7 linked regions of the Callithrix jacchus genome follow. The protein of the gene in region 3 interacts with the protein of the main gene of each other region in a pairwise test. Links are inferred from orthologs where the notes say so. Each region holds a gene or a part of one and is shown on either strand. Other genes may lie near its edges. The genes, in order: CCDC120, CLIC3, EFHC2, LONRF1, CCHCR1, CACNB4 and PLOD3.

Region 1 (2,569 bases), about 4.5 Mb from region 3:
TCCCTTCAGCTGGTGAACGCAGTGGCCACAAGAACCTGGCCCTGGAGGGGCTGCGGGACTGGTACATCCGGAACTCAGGACTGGCTGCGGGGCCCCAGCGCCGGCCTGTGCTCCCCTCTGCGGGCCCGTCACACCCAACCTTTCTCCATGCCCGCTGCTATGAAGTGGGCCAGGCGCTGTACGGGGCCCCCAGCCAGGCGCCACTCCCACACTCGAGGAGTTTCACGGCACCCCCTGTCTCTGGCAGGTATGGGGGGTGCTTTTACTGATGGGTAGGGGTCTCTTAAGGCAGATGGTGAATATATCCAGGCCAGGGAATGGCTAGTCATGATTGCTAATGAATTGGACCATGAGGAAACTAGCTGCCGCGATGGCATAGGGTCACTCTGCTGCACATGATCTGCATTAGTCCATGGGGTCCTGGTGGAGGGGATCTTGGGCGCTGGTAGCAGCAGTTCTTTATCAAGTTATAGGCTGAAGATGAGCCTTGACGCAGGGTGCTGGGAGGAAGGGACATCTATGCCCCTTGCCATTCTCTTCCTTTTCTCTCCTTGCCCCAGAGCCTGAAATTGCTGTCCTATGCCTGCCTCCACCTCTTTAACGAGCCTCTTCCTTTCTCTTTCTTTGTCTTGTCTGCCTTTTCCTCTCTTCTTGTCTTCTCCGCCCTGTCCTCCGGATTCCTGCTACCCTTCTAAAGATACTACGCGGACTTCCTGTATCCCCCGGAGCTGAGCGCTCGTTTAAGTGACCTGACGCTAGAGGGGGAGCAGTCCTCCAGTTCTGACACCCAGACCCCAGGGACGCTGGTCTGACCCCTTCTGATATGCCCCTTGTTGGCCTGGGCACGATTCCAGTCTGGGGAGCACACAGCTGACCTCGATGGGCCCTGGGATGTGGTTGCTCTCAGTCCTGAGCGGAGTGTGCCAACCTTACCTTCCAAGGCCTCTGGCTTCCTGTGGGCCCAGGAAGGTGTCTGACACCCTGCTTCTCTCACACTGTACTGGGGACTGGGGGCCTTCAGCCAGCTTAAAAGAGAGGGGATGATGTCATGGGGACCCCAAGCCCCTTCCTCCATTTCTGTTTACAGTTGTAACTTAGGTATTCACTGTCTTCCTCCAACACTAGGCGTTTTATAAAAGGGAAACTGTGATCTCATCTGGTTGGGTTCATTCCTATTCCCATGCCCAACCAGGTTCCATTCAGGAACCCCCTCCATAAAATGGACCATATCGGGTCTCAGGGCCATTTAGGGCAGCCAGGAGACTCTGGTGTGAACAGAAGTCCCTGCCACCCATTGCCAGGGCGTTAGTGGGGCAGTGAGCTCTCTGCCCACACTTGGAAGGACTACAGTCTGGGTGGGATGCCTGAAGAAGCCCAGTTCCATCTGTGCCCAAAGCCTCTATCCTGACCACCCCTAGTCAGGAGACCCCACAGGAGGGGCAAAGGGCTATATGTGTGCTGTGTCCTGGGATGCTGTGGGGTTGAACCTGGCATCCAGTAGATGCCAGTAAAATCCTCAGGTGAGGTCTGGCCACAGGCCACGGGCCACTCACACCTTCCTTGGCTTTCCTTCCATCCACCACTTATTGTTTTTTTGTGGGGTGGAGTCTTGCCCTGTCATCCAGACTGGAGTTTAGTGGCACGGTCTTGGCTCACTGCAACCTCCGCCTCCTGGGTTCAAGAAATTCTCCTGCCTCAGCTGCCTGAGTAGCTGGGATTACAGGTACATGCCACCACGCCCGGCTGATTTTTGTTTTCTTTGTAGAGACAGGGTTTCACCATGTTGGCCAGGCTGGTCTCGAACCCTTGACCTCGTGATCTGCCCACCTCAGTCTCCCAAAGTGCTGGGATTACAGGTGTGAGACACTGTGCCCAGCCCCCATCTACCACTTTTTAAGCAAACTCACACAAGTTGTGTTTTCTATGATACCTGTCTGTGACTTTCTGGAGCTGGGGGTTCCCCTACCCCCTTTTCCTGGTGTTAAACTTTTCTTTTTGTACCAATGGATCTGGGCCCAAGACATTACCCACACTGGAAGGGGATTTCTATAATAAATGTGTAAACTGAACCCATGTGTTGCTGCTCTGTCTGCCTTGCCTTGAGGGCCCACACCTTTAGTCAAGACCAGATAATATATTTTTACAGGAAAAAACATACCTTGGGAATAGCCTGTGATAGTGTCGTCTGTTTTGACTTTACTTGCTTTGTGATGTGGGGCAACTTCTTTGCCTGTCTGCACTCAGATTTCTAGCCAACCTCAAATAATAACTCTTGGTAATATAATATAAATGATGATAATAAAGATTCTCTGTTCTTAACCTCCCTATACTTTTAAATTTTTTCTTTCTCTTTCCTTTCTTTCCTTCTTGCTTTTCTTTCCTCCTTTCTTTCTCTCTCTCCCCCTCCCTTCCTTCCTTCCTTCTTTCTTTCTTGACTCTTGCTCTGTTGCCAGGCTGGAGTGCAGTGGCAAAATCTCAGCTGACTGCAATCTCTGACTCCCTGGTTCAAGCAAATTCACCTGCTTCAGCCTCCCAAGTAGCTGGGACTACTGTCACGTGCCGTCACACT
Region 2 (3,745 bases), on a different chromosome or scaffold from region 3:
AGCCCAGGAGCCGAGAGGGGCACAGCCAGGCGGGGTCCGGGTCCGCAAGGCTTAGAACTCTGTTCCCACCCTCCCAGGCCACACCCAGGCAAGGCACAGAGTCCTGTAGGAGATGCCCACAGAACGTCCTGTGCAGATCCCAGACCTCCAAGATGCTGTGGAAGTGGCCCTGTGGGGAGGGGAGCGCCTGACCCTGGGACAAGATTGAGGAATGTAGCCAGCCCCCATCCACCTGGGGCACCCCGCCCCACCCCGGCCTGACTGGTTTGGGAGCCCAATCCGGTCCTGGTGATCCCTGAGGCCACCTGTTGCAGGAGACCTGGAGTCTGTGCACTTCTTAGCGTGGGGGATGGGACCCGCCCGATCCTGGCTCTCCTGCCCCTGTGGTTCTGGGCTATTCAGCTGAGTGTCCCACCATGGGGTTTGGGGTTGGGAAGCACCCCCAACTGGGGGCAGTGATCATGGGGCCTCTGGCTCCTCAGATGACAGGACACGCTCACTTCGGACAGAGATGCCTTTATCAGGCGGCAGGGGTGGGGCGGGGCGCTAGCGGGGGTGCACGGCGGGCCGGTAGGCGGCCAGTATCTCGGCGCTATGCGGACACGTGTACTTGAACTCCTTCTCCTGCAGCGCGCTGTCAAGGTAGTGGCGGACTCCCCGCAGCTCTGCGGGGATTGGCGCCTGGCGGAAGTGCGCGCACACGGTCTGTGGGCGGGTGGGGGTGGGGGGGGGCGCGGTCAGGACCTGCTGTTCCCAGCGTCCCGGGCCCCCTGGCGCTCGTCCTCCCCGCCCCCGCTGCTCACGTCGACGATGTTCAGCTTGGGCAGCAGGCTGCAGTCCGCCAGCGTGAGCCGGTCGCCGTCCAGGAATCGGCGGCGGGACTCGCGCAGCTGCGGCTCCAGCGCCAGCTCATGCTCCAGGGGTGCGCGCAGGTAGCTGTCCAGCCTGGCGAGGGCGCGCAGTAGCTGCTGGTACAGGGCTGGGGGCGGCGGCGCAGTGAGGACCCCGCCCAGGGCGCCCTCCCGCCTGCGCATCCAGCCCCTTGACCTCGCCTCACCTTCGTCCTGCGCCGGCACCGGGTTCTTGATGAACACGGAAAACTTGTGGAAAATGTCATTGCCGGCGGTGTTGGCCTCCCTGTACCGAGGGGCCAGGCTGGGGAAGCTGCGGGGATGTCGGGGTGAGAGACTCCATCAGACTGGCCGCAGCCCTGTCCTGGCCCCACAGTACCCCGAAGCGCTTTCCTGGGCTCTGTCCTGGGCGTGACCTCCCTGGGTCCTCCCCCTTAGTCCCCCCACCCTGCTCTGTCTCTCACTCGGGCGGCCCCAGCGTCTCCTCCAGAAAGTCCTGGATCTGCAGCGTGTCTGTCTTGGCCTCGCTGTCACAGAGCAGGATGGGCAACTGCGAGCCAGGGGCGAAGTCCTTCAGCACGTCTGGGGACCTGTGGGCAGCAGCGGGGTGGGAGGAGGCTGGCCCACTGGTGTGTGAGGCCAGGTAGGCGTCCCCAGGATGGGCCTCACCTGCGAGTGTCCACAGTGGTGAGAGTGAAGGGTACGCCCTTGAGGAGCAGGACCATGAAGAGCCGCTGGCAGGAGGGGCAGTGCCCCACGCTCTCCCCGTCCTCACTTGCCTGGGTGGGTGGAATGGGGGTCAGGGCTGGGAGCAGACCCAGGCATCCTGCCACCAGGCTGGGTGGGACCTGCCTCCCACTGCCAGCGGGACTGGAGGGACGCCAGGGCTCCAGCTTGGTCGGTGTGACTTCCAAGTGCCCAGTGAGGGCCCTTGACTGGGTCCCTAGGACGTGGGGAGGGACACAGAGCTGCTGGGAGCTTGGAGGCCTGGGGCGGGCCTGGGCCCTGGAGTCTTAGCAGAGCCTGGGCAGAGGTCCCAAAAGCTGGCTACAGGGGTGGGGTGGGCCCCACAAGCTGTTTTCTGAGTGATTCACCCACCAGACTGGGCACTGTGGCTGGCAGCTCATCAGCCCCCGCCCTGGTCCCTGATCTGAGAGCTGAGGGCCTGCCTGGCCCAGCACCCCGCATCCTGGAACACCCACCTACAGCTCCTGGCAGGCTCCACCACTGGCAGCCTGGTTGGCACCTTCCCACCAAGGGGCCCTCCCCCAGGAGACTGGGCTGGAAACAGGACCAAGGCCGCTGGACCCCTCTCTGGGTGACTCTCTGGGTCCTTCTTCCCCTGGCTGTCCCACTTTACACTTTACTTAGCCTCTGTAGGGCTGAGTCCCCTTAGCCACCCACAGGAAGGGGTCAGACATTACTGGGGAGGCCCAACCCCCAGCCTGTCCCAGAAAGCAAAACCCAGAAGAGTATCCGCTCCCAGACACCCTCCCTACAGCTCAGTTTGCCCTGCACCTTGACAAACAGCTGGAGCTTGGTCTCTGCCATGGTGGGAGCTGCCGCGGTCAGGCGCGGGTGGAGACCTGGGGAGCTTTTTATATCTCTCTGTGAGCCCCGCCCTCCCTGGCCTAGGGGCCCGCCCCGTGGAGCCACCTAGGCGGGCAGATGAAGCTGCCCAGGGTTCAGAGCCGGTTGTCTGAGCAACGCCAGCCTGACCCTGGGGTGTCTGAGCCTGAGGGTGTGACCTCTGGGGGAATGATGTAGGGGGCTGCCCTGTACCTGAGGCTGATGCACACCCAGAGGTCCGCCCACCTGGCACTGAGTGTGCTGGGAGCCGGCGTGATGGATGGAAACCAGTGGGCGGGGCATGGGGAGAGCCTACAGACCAGAAGGGTGTAGGGGGTATCACCTGGGGAGGGGTGGCTTTGTTTCAGGACCACCCCCACCATGAACCCAAATCAGGACCTACCCTATGGCTGTTCCCTGGGCAAATACTCCTGGTCAGGGCCCCTAGCCCAGAAAGCCGGGGGTGGGGTGGGCAGGAGAAATGACCCGACCAGCCTAGCTTCTTCAGTTTCCCGGTCTGCAGCATCAAGGCATTGCAGGGATGATAAGCCCACCTGGAGGAGCCGCCCCTTCCCACTGACTGAGTTGTCAGGCAGGCCCTCGCCACTCAGGGTGGGGCTCGAATTCCAGACCTGCCTGCAACAGGGCGGGGGGTGGGGGGACAGCCTGGCTTTGGTGTTTGGCTGGCAGTGCAGGTCTCCACCCCACCTCCTGTCCCGCCCACTGGCACTCAGCGCAGGTTTCTTACCCCCACCCCTTAATCTTTTAAAAGAAGCAGCTGGAGGGGGTTAGAAGCCACAGGCTGCATGGCTGGAAGCAAGAGGCCAGAGGAGGTTGGTGGGCCGCAGGTGTGAGTCTGCTCTGGGCCTCCTGGTGTGACTGGAACCCACAGGTCAGTCTGGCCCTTTGGGGTCACCAGCTGTGCCTCCTGATGCTTTGGGGGGAAGCCCCAGGGAGGTACCCCAAGGGGAGACCCCACCCAGAGGCCAGGCGCCCCACAGGATTGGCCTGGCCACACTTTCCCCGGAGGTGTGGTGCCCCAGTGAGCCTGGACAGGGTGGTTGTGGTGGCATGGCTCACCTGCTCACCTCCCTAGGGCTTTGGTACAGGCCCCACCCTGTCCCCACGACCGCACTCCAGTGCTGTCCCAGCCAGCCCAGTCTGACCCCTCTGGATTCCACGATGGTCGGGGCTCAGTGCCATGGAGCCCTGGAAATACCATGTGGCTCCCCCATCGTTTGTCATCCTGAGCCCCAGCTCCCTGCAGAGCCTCAGTTTCCCTCCATTCTGCCTCCACCTCGATTGCAAGCCCTAGTTTTTCTCGA
Region 3 (2,896 bases):
CGGGGACACAATTCAACCTATAGCACTACACCTTTCTTTTGTCACCATTTCAAACTGATCCCCTTCTAGCTATTTCACGTTCTCCTGCAGCAGCTTCTCTCAGAGGTAGCTCCTGTTCTCCATGCCTGCTTCAGCTGCCCTGGTTATGGCACCGTCATCTTTTCGTGGTATTATTACACTCACCTCCAGATTGATTTTCTTACTGCATTTCATTCTCTGTACATCCAGCAAGTTAGCTCATCGGTTTCTAATCAGATTGCTGTCATTTCCCTGGCCAAGACCTATCAGTGACTTCCCCTAACCACAGCCTCAAGTATAAACTAGCACAGAAGGTCAGAAGTTCGGCCCCAGCTTCTCCTTCTAACCATCTCTCTTGCCACTTTGTACCATGTGCCACAAACCACACTGCTCTACTCACCCTTTCTTTAAAATAGTTTTTAGATCTCTAGGCCTTTGCTTATGCTTTTCCCTATGCCTGGAACATCCTTCACTACCCTTAACCCTCTGCTGAACTGCTTTGTGTCCCATAAGGTCCAACTGAAACACCACTTAATCAGCTGGCTTCCAAAATTCTATCACATCAAATAATTGAGCCTTTACCTATGTGTCTGACACCTTGTGATTCTGGATACTAATATTAATATACATATATACAACAATTAATCTTGACAGTCATATTTCAATCTTGACAGTAGAAATATAAGCAACTGTATGTACGGACTTTGCCTCCTGTTGATATTAATTAACTATTGCAGCATACGCAAAGAGTTTGTGTGTATATATACACACATATGTATTACATATTATAGAAAATGTGCATCTGTGTGTGCATGTGTATGCACACATAAAGTGGCTTATCTTCAGGATCATACTGTGAGTGATCCAGCGTTCTTTTCAATGTTTCCTGAAGAAACAGTAACCAAGCAACATATAGCTAATAGTTTGTATTTTAAAAATTGGGTTCTTTAGATGGCAGTTCATGCCTGTAATCCCAGCACTTTGGGAGACTGAGGTGGATGGATAACTGGAAGCCAGGAGTTCAAGACCAGACCAGTCTGGCCTGTATGGGGAAACCCATCTCTCCTAAAAATACAAAACTTAGCCAGGCATGGTGCCGTGTGACTGTAATTCCAGCTACTCGGGAGGCTGAGGCACGAGAATCACTTGAACCCAGGAGGCGGAGGTTGCAGTGAGCCAAGGTTGCACCACTGCACTCCAGCCTGGTGCCTGGTGACAGAGTGAGACTCTGTCTAAAAAAAAAAAAAAAAGAAAAAAAGAAAAAAAAGAAAGTATGGGAGGAGCTATCACTGTAACAATGCCGAATAACAACTCCTTAAATTTCAGTGGTTCACAAGACACATTTCTTTTCTTGTCTGTGGGCATGTAGGTCAGTCAAGCATGGGTGGATTCAGCTGAGCTTGGCTCTTAGTCTACAAGTCCAGCCTGGTCTGATCTACCTTGGTCATTCTAAGAACAGCAGCGTCCCAGGCCATGTTCTTCTTATGGTGATGGCAGAGGCACGGAAGGCCAAGCCAAATGATGCCAGCACGCTGGAGCCTCTGTTCATGATATGTCTGCTTACAGTACATAGGTCAAAGCTAGTCATGTGGCCCACCCCATATCAAAGGAACAGGAAAATACACTCTTCTTACTCCACGGGAGGTCCTAGAGTCACATGACAAAGAGTGTGGGTGCATAATTCTTATACAGGCAGGCAATGAAGAATCAAGAACAAGTATCCAGTCTACCACAAAGTCCTTATGAACCTAAAGTAGATGGTACAAATTTTCACTTTGAATATAAACTGTTTGGTGTTGAATTTGCAAAACTGTACTTGGAAATGTGGCTCTAATCGTATCCATTTTTGTTTTTTTTTCTAGAGATGTGAGGATGTTTGGCTTGGGATGTCATCACCTATTCCTGCAAAAAACATTGACTACTTAACCTTTTTGAAGGATACGTTTGGCTTAGAGGAGGAATAACCATGCCAGTTTTGGTCAATTCTTTTTGATTTACTTCTCTAATTTTGCCACATTTACTTTAGTAGATATAATTTCATTAAAAACAAAAAAGAAACAAGGTTTATATTGAATGGGAATCCGTAAACCACAATGAATCTTATTTTGTCATGTTAGATTTTCAGGACACCATATTATATTGCTGATGTACTAGTACTATTTAAAATGCCATTTTGAAACATGTTGAGTATTTTTATTATATGTATGATTTATTAATACCAAAAATCTTCTGATAGTTTCTCATCAAACATAATTTGATTCATGACTATATGAATGGAAAGTGAATTTTGATGGTTATACATGACAATATAAAATGAAATTATATCACAGAAATAAGTTGTGATTCTATTAAACATTTCTGAAATCTTTTTGACATGTTTATTACTTATATAATTAAGTTTTCTGGCAACTCACCTCATCAAAATAGTTCTTAAACCTTTCTAGAGTAAATATGTTTATCTTTTGAACTTAGTAAAGCTATGGAAAGAAAAAACCTCCCCTCGACACACACACATACTTGGGAAACAAATGGGAACATATGCAGTATTTATATTTTTAATACCCTTTTTTTAACTAAAGTCATCTTCTTAGCTTAGGAATATATGCATGTGTATATAATTATAGTATGGCCAAAATTTATTATGTCTAAAATATTTAGGAATGTGAATGCTGAAGATTTTGAGATTTTTTTTTTTTTTTGGTTTGTTTTATACACACATCCCACCCACCCCACCCTAGAGGTTTACATATTCAGAAACTACAACATTTCCCCCACTGCATTTTTCTAGTTCTATTTTTATTTTTCTTCAATGGAACTCTTGTCATATACTGTACATTTGATTAAAACCCATAGCCATGTACTTCTGGGAATTCAGTGT
Region 4 (3,500 bases), on a different chromosome or scaffold from region 3:
GTATTATAGATTTGATGTTTATAAACTCGAGTCCTCTTTATGGTCCTAGGAATGACCGGTAATTTTTCATCATAATGTCTTAATCTATATAGTGATTTTCTTGTCCATTCTGGAAAAACTTCTCAAATTTGTTTTTTATAGCAAATTTTCTTATTCTTATAATGATTCTGTTTTCTGTGTTTTCTAATGAAATTTTAAGTTCTGTTAAAAATTATTACAGTAAAGTTTGCTTTTAAAGTTTCTGCCTGCTTTTTGACCAGCTCCATTTTTCATTATATACTCTTATAATTGTTATCATTCTTTATTTATTAGAGCCTGTCATTTGTTTTCTTGAATTTTGTGAGGGTGCAAAGCACATGCTTAAAAAAAAAAAAAAAAGACTGAACAAGGCATAAGCTTATTTCTTGCTTCTATCAAGTTCAATGTATGTCAGCAAGGGCCAGAATCCTATATTGGCATTCCAAGACCAAAATTATTCAATTATATGGCCCCTCTACATTAAAAAAAAAATTATTTGTATTGTGGTAAAATATATATAAAATTTACCATTTGAATCATCTTTAAGTGCACAGTTCAGTGGCATTAAGTACATTCATATAGCTTTGCGAAAAGGAGACGCTCTTTAAGCTTTAGTTTTAATTTTCATTTCAAATCTTTCAAAAGTAAAAAGTATTTTTTTTTTGTCTCTTGTGTGCTGTAGTCCTATTTTTATATTTCAAAATGTTTTCGGAGTTTCTTTGTTGTTTTTATATGAGTCATCCTTGAAGTATGAAAGACTGAGTCAGGCCTGGTATTTGTTCGGATGAGTTTGTGTATATGAGAGCGAGCACAACCTGGCACATAGCAAGTGGGATGTAAGTGTGCATTAAAGAAATCAATATAAGATGGAGGAGTTAAACTTAGATCTTCCTACCTGTGTTCTCTGAGATGACTCTTCTATCTCAAGGTAGAAGACTGATGCAGTTAATTTTACATTTGCAGTTTAGTGACCCAGTAGTCTAAAGAATATACTGAGGGGGTTCCAGAGGTAGCTGTAGCCTTGGGCATTTAGAGCAGAAGTTCATCATTGTGTAATTACCTCTCTCACTTACTGGCTTTATATGCTAAGTTATTTGTTGTAGCTTTTTGTTTGTTGTTGTGCTTTGACCCAGTTTCCTAGTAAAAGATGTAACTGGGCGTGAACTCCTCCTGTTACTACTTTCTGTCATGTCATCTGCACCCTAATCACTCATCTTTTCTTTTTTTGTAGCAACTATCATCCACTTTTTTGTTCCACTGCTTTCAAAAGCCATTGATTCGTAAAGACAAAAGGAATTCCAAATTAGTGTAGACCTTTGAACCAAAATTCACTTTCAGTCTTAGTCCTCCCACTTGGGGGCTGTCAGTAGGGTTCTGCAATACTGCACTGCTAAGTCAGTGAGATGAGGCATAGGTCAGGCCTTGCTGGCTTTCTTTAGTATGGTCAGTTAGCCCTGTATGAGGCAGAAATATGTATTATAGCATAGGAATAATACTCTCTGGGAGGTCAGCACTGAAACAGGTATTGCCCTGTTGTTCTGATGCCTTTTTCCATTTGTGTCAGTTGGCATATGGATGGGGGATTAGACACAGAAGTCTTACTGACTGTTGTATTTCTAGGTTGAGAATGAAGATGAGATTAAGAATCTCAGAGAGCTTCATGATTTGGTCTACTCTCAAGCCTGCAGCTGGTTTCAGAATTTACGAGACAGATTTCGAAGCCAAATTCTTCAGCACTTTGGATCAATGCCCGAGAGGGAAGAAAACCTTCAGGTATGGTGGCTTTTCTGTTCCCCCAAAGTCAGGTCGATGTAAACCCAAATTTGCAGACTTTGACATTTTCATTTTTTTATTGTCCTTTCTGTACTACATTTTCTTTGACCGCCCCCTGCTCCCATCCCCACCTCATCTTTAGAATCATGAGTTCTCTAGAGTAGTGGTATCTAGTGCATTCCATACAAGTAGAGGCTGGAAATAGGTGTCAGCTGAGATGCCTGTAGGAGAGAGTGCCAGAGAGGGAGGAAGTCCTTAAGAGGACTTTTAGGAGGGGTAAGGAATTAAAAATGGGATGTTACTATCTAGAAACTGTGACTGTGAGACAACTATGCCTTCAAACCCATCACCTGTTGCTGTCATTCTTTGAGAGCAGAGAGATTTACAATTTTCTATACATTTAAAAATCTTTTCTCATTTTTCTGTCTCCCAACATTTGACCCCACGACTTACTCATTTTTGCCTCTTCATGTTTAATACTTCGCTTCTTATGAAACTGTTATTCTTTTAGTCTTGCTGATACTTAGGGTTTACACTTAAGCTTAGTCTAATGAATGTGTATCTGGAACTTTCTGTGCAAGCAAAACTGCAAGAGGCATAAAAGAAGGGTCTGGCTCCTGGAAAATATGATCATAGACTCATTAAAGCATTGCGTTTTAGGCATAAGTATTTTTGAATTTAAATGTTTTTGGTCAGAAGGTGATAGATTGTACAAAGGAATGGCTGTCAGTAAATATGTGAAGATGGAGAAATAATAGATCTCATTGTAATGCACACTGCCTCATTCCCATTTTTAAGGGTTAGTCTGCATCTGTCTGAATCCCAATTGAATCCTTCACCTGAACTTGAAACACCAACATAGGCCATCTCCACATTTAGTATTCATTCTGTTTAGTATATTATCAGTTGTTATCTATTTGTTTTAACTGATTACTTGAATCTGATTAAACGTCACAGAAATAGGCTTTGATAAGAACAATATTGAATAAGAAATTTCACATGATAAAAAAACAGCTTATAGAAAAATTCAATATAACTTTCCCATCACCTTCACCACCCTTGCCTTTTATTATCCTGTCCTCTATCACTGCTTTCTGTTAGCGATGTTGCGTGAGTTAGGATTCGGGCAGGAAAGCAAAAGCAGCCACCCTGCGTATTCCTGGGATGAAGGTTTTGATGTAGGTTGCGGACTTTATAGAGTAGTTGGGGAAGCTGTGGGGGGGAAGGTCAGGGATTTCACCTGCAGAAGTCAGGGAATTTGCCACCAGAGATTCAGGAACAGCCAACAGGGTACTTCTGAAGAACTAGTGGGGAAGTGGCTATGATTCTTAGGAATCCCAGTAAGTCCCCACTACTACCTTAGCAGTGGAGGTAGGGGTTTCCAGGAGCTCTCTGGAAAGCTGCTGCTCATACTTTGCAACAATCTTCATACTTTGCAACAATCTTCCGAGGATACTGGCTTCTCTTCCAGCTTCTACACCCTACAAGAGTGCCTTTCATTGGCCAACCCTAACCTGGAACCCTATGGCAGAGGGGATTCTAGGAGACAGTTTCTAACATCTCTGGAATGCAGAAGAGAAGGTAGTGACGCTTAGCTGACAGCAGACAATACATGAATGTAGAAACTGAATCTGATTCTGAAGGGAGCCTACTGAGATCAGCACTGATGTCCTAGCTCCTTTTGTCATTCTGAAGCTTTATATTTTAAG
Region 5 (3,500 bases), on a different chromosome or scaffold from region 3:
TTCGTCCAACTTTTCCACTTAAAATATGTGGCCTAAAAAATAAAACAATAAATAAGACAAACACCAAAAAACAAAAAGAATGTGGTGGCCTAATGGTACACACATTTGATGTTGAATCTGCCTGTATGTGGCGCTCTCTAGAGAGATCATGTTTCATGATCTCAGCCAGACCTTAGGTCCTGTGAGTCCAGGCACTGGACTTAACATGCTCAATAGGGCTTTGATGAATGATGATGGTGTAAGTGCAGACATCCCCATGCCCCAGCTTCAGCACCCCCTTCACCTCCCAACATGAGTGCAGAGGGGTCTTTTGCTTCTCCTGACTATGTTTATGCTCTCAACTATCCTTCCATCTCTGGAGACAAGTTTCATCTGCACTAACCTGTCTTTGAAGGTGCCGGGAGTTGGACGGGTCACAGGCCCTGAGCCAGCAGGCTGAGCTGATCTCTCGTCAGCTGCAAGAGCTGCGGCGGCTAGAGGAGGAGGTCCAGCTCCTGCGAGAGACCTCACTGCAGCAGAAGATGAGGCTAGAGGCCCAGGCCATGGAGCTGGAGGCTCTGGCACGGGCGGAGAAGGCTGGCCGAGCCGAGGCTGAGGGCCTACGTGCAGCTTTGGCTGGGGCTGAGGTTATCCGGAAGAACTTGGAAGAGGGGAGCCAGCGGGAGCTGGAAGAGGCTCAGAGACTGCACCAAGAGCAGGTGAATCCAGAGGTGGAAAGGATTCAAATTCATAATGGAGAGCTGGGCAGTAGCTTCCAAGCAGGTATTGCAGAAAAGACCCCCCGCCATGAGTAGTAAGCAGTGGAATGATGAGACCTTTTGGTGAAAGGAAACACACATGGCCTAGAGAGATGGAGAACTTGGGTGCTTTGATCTTAATTCAGATTCTACTTTTCCCCCAAGACTCAGGTGGCCTCCCACCACTTGAAGCCCTCCTTTCCTTTCTAGTAGGAAGTAATTTGCCTCCCTACTTTACTGCAGGTACCAATTCATTGGGGGTATTGTGGAGGGCAGTGTGGAAGGTGGGTAAGGAGGCTGTGGTGGACTGGGATAGAGATTATTCAGTCCACAGTGCTTACTCTTTGCCATCTATGAGACTTAGTGACCAAATTAGCCTGAGTCCTGCTTTCATGGATGGAGCTGACAGCCTTGTGGGGGATACACTCGTCTATATTTAATTTAATCATAAGTAATTGCAATTGGGGGAGTGCCTTGAAGAAGGACTAGAGAGCGCTAACTTGGTCTGGGGTTCAGGGAAGGCCACTAACCTGTCGGCATGTCAAGAAAAGTAACCATAGGGCTGGGCATGGGTGGCTCACGCCTGTAATTCCAGCATTTTGGGAGGCTGAAGTGCGTGGATCACAAGGTCTGGAGTTTGAGACCAGCCTGGCCAACATGGCAAAACCCTGTCTCTACTAAAAATACAAAAATTGGGCCGGGCGCGGTGGCTCACACCTGTAATCCCAGTACTTTGGGAGGCCAAGGTGGGTGGATCACGAGGTCAAGAGATCGAGACCATCCTGGTCAACATGGTGAAACCCCGTCTCTACTAAAAATGCAAAAAATTAGTTGGGCACGATGGTGCATGCCTGTAATCCCAGCTACTCAGGAGGCTGAGGCAGGAGAATTGCCTGAACCCAGGAGGTGGAGGTTGCAGTGAGCCGAGATCGCGCCATTGCACTCCAGCCTGGGTAACAAGAGTGAAACACGGTCTCAAAAAATAAAAATACAAAAATCAGCTGGATATGGTGGTGCGTGCCTGTAATCCCAGCTGCTCGGGAGGCTGAGGCAGGAGAATCACTTAAACCTGGGAGGTAGAGTTTGTAGTCAGCCAAGATCATTCCACTGCACTCCAGCCAGGGCAACAGAGCTAGACTCCATCTCAAAAAAATAAAAAAATAAAGAAACCATAAAGGAACTGGGAGAAAACAAGGGAGAATTAAATTCCTTATAACCTTGTAGTGTACAAGGCCTTTCTACCTATGAGTCAAAATCCAAAATCTTGAAGCCATAAAGGAAAAGATTGACTCATCGACTTTATAACATGAACATTACGAATAGCAAAAAAAAAAAAAAAAAGCTATATTTATAGCTCAGATTACAAGAAAAGGGTACTATCCCTAATATATAATGTGTGTATAGAATTTGGTAACGGAAAGACCAGCAGTCCAATCAGAAAATGGACAAAGGAGATTCATGAAAGAAACTTAGCAATAAGAAGTTAGGCCAGGCACGGTGGCTCATGCCTCTAATCCCAGCACTTTGGGAGGCCAAGGCGGGTAAACCACTTAAGGCCAGGAACTCGAGACCAGTCTGACCAACATGACGATACCCAGTCTCTACAAAAAATACAAAAATTAGCCAGGTATGGTGGCAGGTGCCTGTAATCCCCCATCTTCTTGGGAGGCTGAGGCAGGAGAATTGCGTAAACCCAGGAGGCAGATGTTAGGATGAGGTGAGATCACTACTCTCCAGACTGGGCAGCAGAGCAAGACTGAAAAAACAACAAGCTACCATTTGTGCTGAATAAGGAGTTGGCCAGTGAAGAGGTGTGTGGGGTGCAATGGTAGCTGGTGGACACTCAGCAGGACAGCAGATGGAGATGGGGACAGGAGGAGGCTAGAAGGCTGGAGCACAGAGATAAAGGGCCCTGAGTGTGTTGCAGAGCACAGGACCCAGGGTGCAAGGCCTTGGTCAGTTCAGAACTTGATACTTTCCCTTAAGAGTAATGAGCAGGCGGCCGGGCATGGTGGCTCAGGCCTATAATCCCAGCACTTTGGGAGGCCGAGGCGGGTGGATCACGAGGTGAGAGATCGAGACCATCCTGGTCAACAAGGTGAAACTCTGTCTCTACTAAAAATACAAAAATTAGCTGGGCATGGTGGTATGCGCCTGTAGTCCCAGCTACTCGGGAGGCTGAGGCAGGAGAATTGCTTGAACCCAGAAGGCAGAGGTTGCGGTGAGCCGAGATCGTGCCATTGCACTCCAGTCTGGGTAACAAGAGCAAAACTCTGTCTCAAAAAAAAAAAAGAAGAGTAATGAGCAGGCTGGGCACAGTGGCTCATATCTATAATCCTAACACTTAGGGAGGACAAGGCCAAAGGATCACTTGAGCCCAGTAGTTTGAGACTAGCCTGGGCAACGAAGTGAGATCCCCGTGTCTATTTTATAAAATAAGTTAGGGCCTGGCACGGTGGCTCACACCTGTAATCCCAGCACTTTGGGAAGCCAAAATGGGTAGATCACTTGAAGTCAGGAGTTTGAGACTAGCCTGGCCAACATGGTGAAACCTCATCTCTACTAAAAATATAAAAATTAGCCAGATGTGGTGGCTCATGCCTATAATCCCAGCTACTTGGGAGGCTGAGGCAGGAGAATCGCTTGAACCTGGGAGGCAGCGTTTGCAGTGAGCTGAGATCCAGCCTGGGCAATGAAGTAAAACTCTATCTCCAGAAACAAAAAAAAAGAAATTAAAAAAATTTTTTTTCCTTTTTTTTTTTT
Region 6 (4,018 bases), on a different chromosome or scaffold from region 3:
AGGTTGGTGGGAGGGCATATTCCAGGGAGGCATTTAAGGTAGGATTGCATTTGGAATGCTTGGGTAATGAGTAGATCTGCCAGCTTGCTGGAAGGTTTGTATAAAAAAGATCAAGATGGAGAAATGAGATGGAGAGTGATCAGAAATGCAGGGGAGGCTGGGATGTTGGACCAGGGAGTTTGGAGTTTAATCTTAGAGAAGAGTGACTTGGGCAAGAGATTTCACGAAAATGGTTTTGCCTGTAGTGTGTAAATGGAATAAAATCTCTGCGTGTGTATACGCACATGCCATGCACTAGGAAGTCTGGAGGCAAAAACACTGGTTATAAGATTGTTACAGAAGTTTGGATTAAGTGAAGGTATTAGGAATGGAAAGGAAGTGTCTGGTGGATGGTAAGCTATAATTGGGACCTCAATAAAGCCAAGCAATTGTTAAAACAAGCATGATAGTTGTGTCTATAAAGTCCTAGAATGCAAGCTTAGATGGGCTGATTTAGCGATTTGAGAGGGTATGTATATGTTAATTTAAACAGAATCTCTTTATTTTTGAATTTGCATATATTTTTCTTCCCTCTTCTTATTCCTCTCTACAGTACCTCACACTTACTCCTCTTCTCCGCATCCCTCTCTTTTAATTTGATCACAAATTAATCTCTTGTATGTATTTGCAGGAGGAAACCAGCGGCAAACGTTGTGTATGGTTGCAAGGATGAGTTTCTCCCCTTGAAAACATCCATCCGCATAGAAATGGGAGGCACAGTGACCAACTCTTGCTTCTTAGCAGATCTAAAATGACCTTCAAAACTCCTTAGGACAGGCTGGTCTTTGGCGGGGCAGCATCTTCCGTCAGACTCGGGCTGGTTGGGTTTCGCACGGCTGCCTGGATGTGTGTGACTCGCAGCTCTAAGGACAGAATTGCCAAAGCAATACAAAAACACGCAGGAAAAGCTAGCCACAAAACCCCATGCCTTACCACAGTAGGCTGTTGAGTGAAGTCGCGGAAGGTGGCTCTGCTCTTGCCCTTTTAAAATTCCAGTGCAGCAAACACACACACACAGCCGCCCGGTTCTTCCCACTCCCGCCACACTGCACCAGCTTCCCTCCCCAAGTCCTGATTCATGAACCGTGCCACCTTTGTCTCATTTTAAACTGTGCAGACTATTTTAATCCTGCCACCCCCATCCCAGATTTCCCCCTCCCTTCATCCTCTGGAAGCTCTGATGTAAAGCGCTCGCTAGGTGGGAGAGCGCTTCTCCCAGTCGGCTGGGGTAGGCGAGTTTCCGAGAAGCCCCCTCCCCGGGACCCAGCCACGGGCGCGGGGGAAGCGCCTCGGTCCCTTTAAGGTGCCGCGCTCTCCGAAGTGCAGGCAGGGAGCCTGGGCGCCGGCGCGGGTCCTGGAGCCGGGTGGGGAAGTCCTGTGCCCTCCCCCTCTGCTCGCAGCCCAGCCTCGGGGGCCAGCGCCCTCCGCCCACCGCGCACGGGCGGGCCATGCGGTGGCTCTGAACGATGTCCTCCTCCTCCTACGCCAAGAACGGGACCGCGGACGGGCCGCACTCCCCCACCTCGCAGGTACCGCCCCCTCCTCCCCCCCTCCTCCTCTTCCTTCTCTTCCTTCCTCACACCTCCTCCGCCGCCCTAGCGCGCCCCGCCTTCGTGCCGGGCGTGCGGGGCCCCAGTCCCGGGAGTCGGCGGCCCCGCTCCCCTACCCCTCCTCCACGTCCCTTTCTCCTCCCGCTCCTCCTCTTTCTCCTCCTTCTCCTCTTCCTCCTCCTCCTCAGCCTCCTTCGGGTCTCTGCGCTCCCGCTCCGGAGCCCGCAGCCTCCCCAAGCCGATGCCGGGGATTCGGACCCCGCACCCTGACAGTCTTTGTTAATGGATGTGGTGGGTGCTTGCGGGCTGCACTTCTCGGGCATCTTCTCTGCCGTCGAGGCTTGGAGTGGGTGGGTGGGGGTGGGGGCTGTATTTGGGAGTCGCGAAGGAGACTTGGGTGCGGGCTCTAGGGGACCCCGGGGAGCGGGTCCGGAGGCGGACTCCAGCCAGGGATGGTCGCCCTGCTCCGCGCTGCGGTCCTCACTGGCTTCTCTCTGGCCCCGTGTGTCGAGTCCAGGTGGCCCGAGGCACCACAACCCGGAGGAGCAGGTTGAAAAGATCCGATGGCAGCACCACTTCGACCAGCTTCATCCTCAGACAGGTACGAGAAGGAGGCGGGAGAGCAGGATGGGGAGGAGGCCGAGCGTGTGGCGCGGAGTCCTGGAGCCGATGGTGGCCACCACGTGCAGGAGCTCTGGGTCGAGTCCGCGTGCGTCTCTTCCCGGCCTCGGCGGGTGCTGGGGCTCCGTCCCTCTCCCTCTCCCTCTCCCTCTAGCCCAGGCTCTTGAAGTCTTCGTGTCCCGGCGCCGCACCGCCCTGGGAAGTTAGTTTGTGCATGTGTGTGGACAGTTCGGAGGGGACCTGGCTTAAGTCAGGGACGTTGAATTAAAGAGCTGGAAATATGTCTGGTTGCACCTTTGGTGCCTGGAGAAACGTCTTTACGTCGTGTAACTCGACCTAGAGTAACCAGACCCTTCGGCTCCGGGGACCTGGTTTGATTCGAGTTGAGACTTAGTGGTTTCTTCTATTTTGTCCTAATTTGAATACTCTTATTTGTCTGGATCTTGGAGAGATAGCCGAGCTCCGGTCACAAGAAAGACACTTTGAGCAGAAAGTTTACTCTCACTTTGGGACCGATTCTTGGATTCGCTTAATAAGGGAAAGACAGCCGTATCTGGTTAAGTAGGAATTAACGAAGGCCAGCACTCAGCTCCCGGGGTCTGGGTGCGCCTTCACTTCGTGTCTGTTTTCTTAGTGCTTGCTTTCTCCTGCGTGGTTCCAGTGAGAGTTGTCTGTGCTCGGGATCTCGGGATCGTTGGTAACGCTGAAGGCTTAGGTGCCTTTCACCTTGACACAGGAAATTGGTCCTCAGTTTTCCAACTGTTCGTGTGCGGTTAATGAAACCACCCCTGGCTGCTGGGTGCTAGAGAGATCATGCGAAAGTGAGTCACCTTGATCTTTCTTTGGAACAGAAATTGTCGGGGTGTGTCCTAGGTTTCGGGTGACCTAGGAAGACATTGGTCATGGCACCAAGAAGCTTTTATCCCAGGTCTTCCTGTGGGCTGCCAGGGTGACCTTGAGAAGTTCTTTTCCCTCTAGGTTACTCGGTATTGTGTAATGTGTTTCTAACCTATGATGGCAGCTGTGGTGTATCTTTAGTGATTATCATCAATTTAATCATATCAACGAGGAATGGACTTTAGCCTCAAAATTGGACTCAGACCTCTTCTAAAAGGGTCTATAAAGCACAGTTAGATGATATTTTTATGCAGAATTTCACTTTCTGCAGAAGCAGAAATTTTGACTACCCTTTAATTTAGTGACCACTAAGCATATACATTATTGAAATAAATGCATTTTGGATTTCTATCTCATTCTTAAAATGCATTCTATCCCCTTTGTAGTACTTAGATTATGTATTTGATAAGGCACATTTTTCTGTTATGCAATTGTTTGAGGTCTTGCTGGTGTTTATTTTGTAGGTGCCTATTTTTAGTGGTGTTTTATTGTTGCAAATTCTTGGAAATACTAATTATACAGCAGTTCATTCCATAAGCTGTTTGACTAGAACTTTGGAGTTCATGTACATAACTGCACTAATGCTTTATTCTTCCTCCTAAGCAGAAACAAAATAATATTCTAATATTCTTATTCTTTTCTCAATTTATGCCCACAACTGATTGAGATAATGTACATATAAGTTCGTGTGAAGTGTGTGCTGCTATGTGCTGGCTTAAAAAATGTAAAACATATTATGTGATAAATAATTTTGGGAATAATTTAAAGCAAAGTAGATGTTTTAGAATAAACATATTTCATAAATCTGTATGAAATGGGGATTCATTGGTTTGATTCAATGTTCTAATTTAAATTCAGGAGTTAATTGTAATTATGTTATATGTACAATCTTTTTATTTTTTGGCACAAAA
Region 7 (3,500 bases), on a different chromosome or scaffold from region 3:
TCTTTACTAAAAAACAGTACAAAAATTAGCCAGGCATGTTGGCAGCCACCTGTAATTCCAGCCACTCAGGAGGCTGAGGCAGGAGAATCACTGGAACCTGGGAGGCAGATGTTGCAGTGAGCTGAGGTCATGCCACTGTACTCCAGCCTGGTGACAGAGCGAGACTCTGTCTCAAAAAAAAAAAAAGCAAGGAGGCTGAACACGGTGACTCATGCCTGTAATCCCAGCACTTTGGGAGGCCGAGGCAGGCAAATCATGAAGTCAGGAGTTCAGGACCAGCCTAGCCAACATAATGAAACCCTGTCTCTACTAAAAATACAAAAATTAGGCTGGGTGCGACAGCTCATGCCTGTAATCCCAGCACTTTGGGAGGCCAAGGCAAGTGGATCATCACCTGAGGTCAGGAGTTCAAGACCAGCCTGGCCAACATGGCGAAACCTCTTCTCTATTAAAAATACAAAAATTAGCAGGGCATGGTGGCACACGCCTGTAATCCCAACTATTCAGGAAGCTGAGGATGGAGAATCTCTTGAACCCAGGAGGTGGAGGTTGCAGTGAGCTGAGATGGCGCCATTGCACTCCAGCCTGGGTGACTGAGCAAGACTCCGTCTCAAAAAAAAAAAATGAGAGAGAACATGAAGAGGGATAGGGATGCTGAGGTTCCCAGTGGCACCCAGCTCAGTTCATCCTGCCCTTCCTCACCCAGCGGCTTCGATATGCTCAGGCAGGTAGTCAGTGGAGCTCTCTGAGCCAGCAGCCTGGTCAGAACTCGAAGGTTCCTGCCCCCCACAAGCCACACTCCAGGATAGTCCCAGTGTCCCTTTATCCCTGGAGAATTTGGGACCCCATATTTAGAAGAACGTGTTGCTCGGCAGCTCCCAGAGAAAGGGGGTCTGAATCCTGGCCTTTTTCTTCCCCAGATGAAGTGGTTTTAAAGTTTGATCGGAACCGTGTGCGTATACGGAACGTGGCCTACGACACGCTCCCCGTTGTGGTCCATGGAAATGGTCCTACTAAGGTGCCACCAGTGGCTTCAACCCCTGCCCTGCCCTGCCCCAACCCCTGGGCATCTCCAACCCTTCTGAGAAGCCGGCCCTCCCCAGCTCCCACAGCAGAGGTGCCCCACCTCCACCCTGGAGGCCTCAGCCACTCAGCCTCTGTCTCTCCCCAACAGCTGCAGCTCAACTACCTGGGAAACTATGTCCCCAATGGCTGGACTCCCGAGGGAGGCTGTGGCTTCTGCAACCGGGACCGGAGGACACTCCCGGGGGGGCAGGTGAGGCAGGGGTGCCGGGAAAGAAGGCAGCATGCTGAGCAGGAGGTGCAAGGACAGTGGGCTGGGTGTTGGTGGGGGCAATGCCCCTGAGTCCCCGAAGCTGGCAGGGTGGAGGGTGGGTGGGGGCGGCGGGAAGTCCAGGCTTCCCTCTGAGCACCTTCGTGTCGCATCTTCCAGCCTCCCCCCCGGGTGTTTCTGGCCGTGTTTGTGGAACAGCCTACCCCATTTCTGCCCAGCTTCCTGCAGCGGCTGCTGCTCTTAGACTATCCCCACGACAGGATCACCCTTTTCCTGCACAATAACGTGAGACCCCCCCGCCCCCCAAAGCCTCTCCCAAAGGACCCTTCCCCTGCCCTAATCAGCACTCCCGTGCCCCCACCCCCATAGCCTACCTGCACCCCCATCCCTCAAGGGCCGCCTCCTTGCCCTCTGAGCCCGTCCCCCATGTCAACCCCTCCCCAGGAGGTCTTCCATGAGCCTCACATCGCTGACTCCTGGCCGCAGCTCCAGGAACACTTTGCAGCCACGAAGCTGGTGGGGCCAGAGGAGGCTCTGAGCCCAGGCGAGGCCAGGGACATGGCCATGTGAGCAGGCACTGGGCAGGGAGGAGGGCAGGATGAGGGTGCAGGGTGGGGGTGGCTGCCACCCGCTGCCTGGCCCTCGCCTCACCTATCACCCTTCCAGCTCCTCCCAGGCTTCTCCACTCGCATCCTTGCAGTTCCCACGCTGTCACATCCCCTCCCCACCCTTGCTAGCTCACCCAGACAGCGGAGAGCCTGGGGAAAGAAGGCCAGATGCTGCCTCCCTCCTCTTCTCCTGGGGTGGGGCCAATTCCCCATCCCCACCTGCCTCCCTGCCTGCTGCTGTTTGAGCTCAGCTCTCACCTCCAGGGACATGTGTCGGCAGGACCCCGAGTGCGAGTTCTACTTCAGCCTGGACGCTGATGCTGTCCTCACCAACCCACAGACCCTGCGCATCCTCATTGAGGAGAACAGGTGGCTTGCCCTCTTTCCCTGCAGCCGGGGGGCACCCCAACAGGCCCCGGGAACCCCACTCCTGCCCTGGGCACTGGGCTCCCCAGGCCTGCTCTCTTCCACCCAGCCCTCACCCTCGCCTGTCCACAGGAAGGTGATTGCCCCCATGCTGTCCCGCCACGGCAAGCTGTGGTCCAACTTCTGGGGTGCCCTGAGCCCTGACGAGTACTACGCCCGCTCTGAGGACTACGTGGAGCTGGTGCAGAGAAAGCGAGTGTGAGTCCCGCCAGCCTGCAGCCCCCTCTTCTGACCCAGGGCCTGGGTAGACCCAAGCCTCCTAGTCACCAGTCAGAGGTGCCATGAGGCCGGGTGCAGTGGCTCACACCTGTGATCCCACTACTTTGGGAAGCCAAGGTATGAGGACTGCTTGAGCCTGGTGAGATCAGCCTGGTCAATATAGCAAAATCTTATCTCTACAAAAAATTTAAAGTATTAGCTGGGCATGGTAGTGAGAGCCTCTAGTCCCAGCTACTACTACAGAGGCTGAGGTGGGAGGATCACTTGAGCTTGGGAGGTTGAGGCTGCAGTGAGCCATGTTTGCACCACTGCACTCCAACCTGGAAACGGGGAGACCCTGTCTCAAGAAAAGAAAAAACAAAGGCCAGGCCTGGTGGCTCAATCCTGTAATCCCAGCACTTTGGGAGGCTGAGGCGGGCAAATCACTTGAGATCAGGAGTTCCAGACCAGCCTGGCCAACATGATGAAAGCCCATCTGTTTTTTTTTTTCTTTTTGAGATGGAGTCTTGCTCTATCGCCAGGCTGGAGTGCAATGGCGTGATCTCGGCTCCCTGCAACCTCCGCCTCCTGGGTTCAAGCAATTCTCCTGCCTCAGCCTCCTGAGTAGCTGGGATTACAGGCACACACCACCATGCCCAGCTAATTTTTGTATTTTTAATAGAGACGGAGTTTCACCATATGGGCCAGGATGGTCTCGATGTCTTGACCTCGTGATCCACCCGCCTCAGCCTCCCAAAGTGCTGGGATTACAGGCGTGAGCCAGTGTGCCTGGCCTTTTTTTTGTTTTTGAGATGAAGTCTTGCTTTGTCACCCAGGCTGAAGTGCAGTGGTGTGATCTCAGCTCATTGCAACCTTCACCTCCTGGGTTCAAGTGATTCTCCTGCCTCAGCCTCCTGAGTAGCTGGGATTACAGGCGCACGCCACCATGCCTGGCTGATTTTTGTATTTTGAGT

Evidence for each region.
Region 1: the proteins of EFHC2 (region 3) and CCDC120 interact in binary tests that used the Homo sapiens proteins (3 or more experiments, as listed by UniProt). The link is inferred for Callithrix jacchus from reciprocal best matches to the Homo sapiens genes EFHC2 and CCDC120.
Region 2: the proteins of EFHC2 (region 3) and CLIC3 interact in binary tests that used the Homo sapiens proteins (3 or more experiments, as listed by UniProt). The two-hybrid records come from large-scale screens. The link is inferred for Callithrix jacchus from reciprocal best matches to the Homo sapiens genes EFHC2 and CLIC3.
Region 4: the proteins of EFHC2 (region 3) and LONRF1 interact in binary tests that used the Homo sapiens proteins (3 or more experiments, as listed by UniProt). The two-hybrid records come from large-scale screens. The link is inferred for Callithrix jacchus from reciprocal best matches to the Homo sapiens genes EFHC2 and LONRF1.
Region 5: the proteins of EFHC2 (region 3) and CCHCR1 interact in binary tests that used the Homo sapiens proteins (3 or more experiments, as listed by UniProt). The link is inferred for Callithrix jacchus from reciprocal best matches to the Homo sapiens genes EFHC2 and CCHCR1.
Region 6: the proteins of EFHC2 (region 3) and CACNB4 interact in binary tests that used the Homo sapiens proteins (3 or more experiments, as listed by UniProt). The two-hybrid records come from large-scale screens. The link is inferred for Callithrix jacchus from reciprocal best matches to the Homo sapiens genes EFHC2 and CACNB4.
Region 7: the proteins of EFHC2 (region 3) and PLOD3 interact in binary tests that used the Homo sapiens proteins (3 or more experiments, as listed by UniProt). The link is inferred for Callithrix jacchus from reciprocal best matches to the Homo sapiens genes EFHC2 and PLOD3.

The regions. Positions count from the first base shown.
Region 1 is NC_133524.1:49,616,954-49,619,522, forward strand, and holds the end of CCDC120 (coiled-coil domain-containing protein 120), read left to right. Parts: coding exon 1-247; intron 248-697; coding exon 698-812; 3' UTR 813-2,069; downstream 2,070-2,569. UniProt on the Homo sapiens protein: Centriolar protein required for centriole subdistal appendage assembly and microtubule anchoring in interphase cells. Together with CCDC68, cooperate with subdistal appendage components ODF2, NIN and CEP170 for hierarchical subdistal appendage assembly.
Region 2 is NC_133502.1:185,421,645-185,425,389, forward strand, and holds CLIC3 (chloride intracellular channel protein 3), read right to left. Parts: upstream 2,424-3,745; 5' UTR 2,403-2,423; coding exon 2,370-2,402; intron 1,631-2,369; coding exon 1,521-1,630; intron 1,442-1,520; coding exon 1,316-1,441; intron 1,165-1,315; coding exon 804-1,164; intron 706-803; coding exon 547-705; 3' UTR 501-546; downstream 1-500. UniProt on the Homo sapiens protein: In the soluble state, catalyzes glutaredoxin-like thiol disulfide exchange reactions with reduced glutathione as electron donor.
Region 3 is NC_133524.1:45,133,493-45,136,388, reverse strand, and holds the end of EFHC2 (EF-hand domain-containing family member C2), read left to right. Parts: intron 1-1,880; coding exon 1,881-1,982; 3' UTR 1,983-2,396; downstream 2,397-2,896. UniProt on the Homo sapiens protein: Microtubule inner protein (MIP) part of the dynein-decorated doublet microtubules (DMTs) in cilia axoneme, which is required for motile cilia beating.
Region 4 is NC_133514.1:29,029,242-29,032,741, forward strand, and holds part of LONRF1 (LON peptidase N-terminal domain and RING finger protein 1), read left to right. Parts: intron 1-1,638; coding exon 1,639-1,791; intron 1,792-3,500.
Region 5 is NC_133505.1:35,974,947-35,978,446, reverse strand, and holds part of CCHCR1 (coiled-coil alpha-helical rod protein 1), read left to right. Parts: intron 1-394; coding exon 395-698; exon of another isoform or gene 699-732; coding exon of another isoform or gene 733-762; intron 763-3,500. UniProt on the Homo sapiens protein: May be a regulator of keratinocyte proliferation or differentiation.
Region 6 is NC_133507.1:78,277,142-78,281,159, forward strand, and holds the start of CACNB4 (voltage-dependent L-type calcium channel subunit beta-4), read left to right. Parts: upstream 1-1,218; 5' UTR 1,219-1,505; coding exon 1,506-1,568; intron 1,569-1,636; exon of another isoform or gene 1,637-1,871; coding exon of another isoform or gene 1,872-1,880; intron 1,881-2,106; coding exon 2,107-2,190; intron 2,191-4,018. UniProt on the Homo sapiens protein: The beta subunit of voltage-dependent calcium channels contributes to the function of the calcium channel by increasing peak calcium current, shifting the voltage dependencies of activation and inactivation, modulating G protein inhibition and controlling the alpha-1 subunit membrane targeting.
Region 7 is NC_133503.1:12,545,564-12,549,063, forward strand, and holds part of PLOD3 (multifunctional procollagen lysine hydroxylase and glycosyltransferase LH3), read left to right. Parts: intron 1-920; coding exon 921-1,018; intron 1,019-1,174; coding exon 1,175-1,276; intron 1,277-1,453; coding exon 1,454-1,579; intron 1,580-1,738; coding exon 1,739-1,860; intron 1,861-2,166; coding exon 2,167-2,271; intron 2,272-2,400; coding exon 2,401-2,526; intron 2,527-3,500. UniProt on the Homo sapiens protein: Multifunctional enzyme that catalyzes a series of essential post-translational modifications on Lys residues in procollagen. Plays a redundant role in catalyzing the formation of hydroxylysine residues in -Xaa-Lys-Gly- sequences in collagens.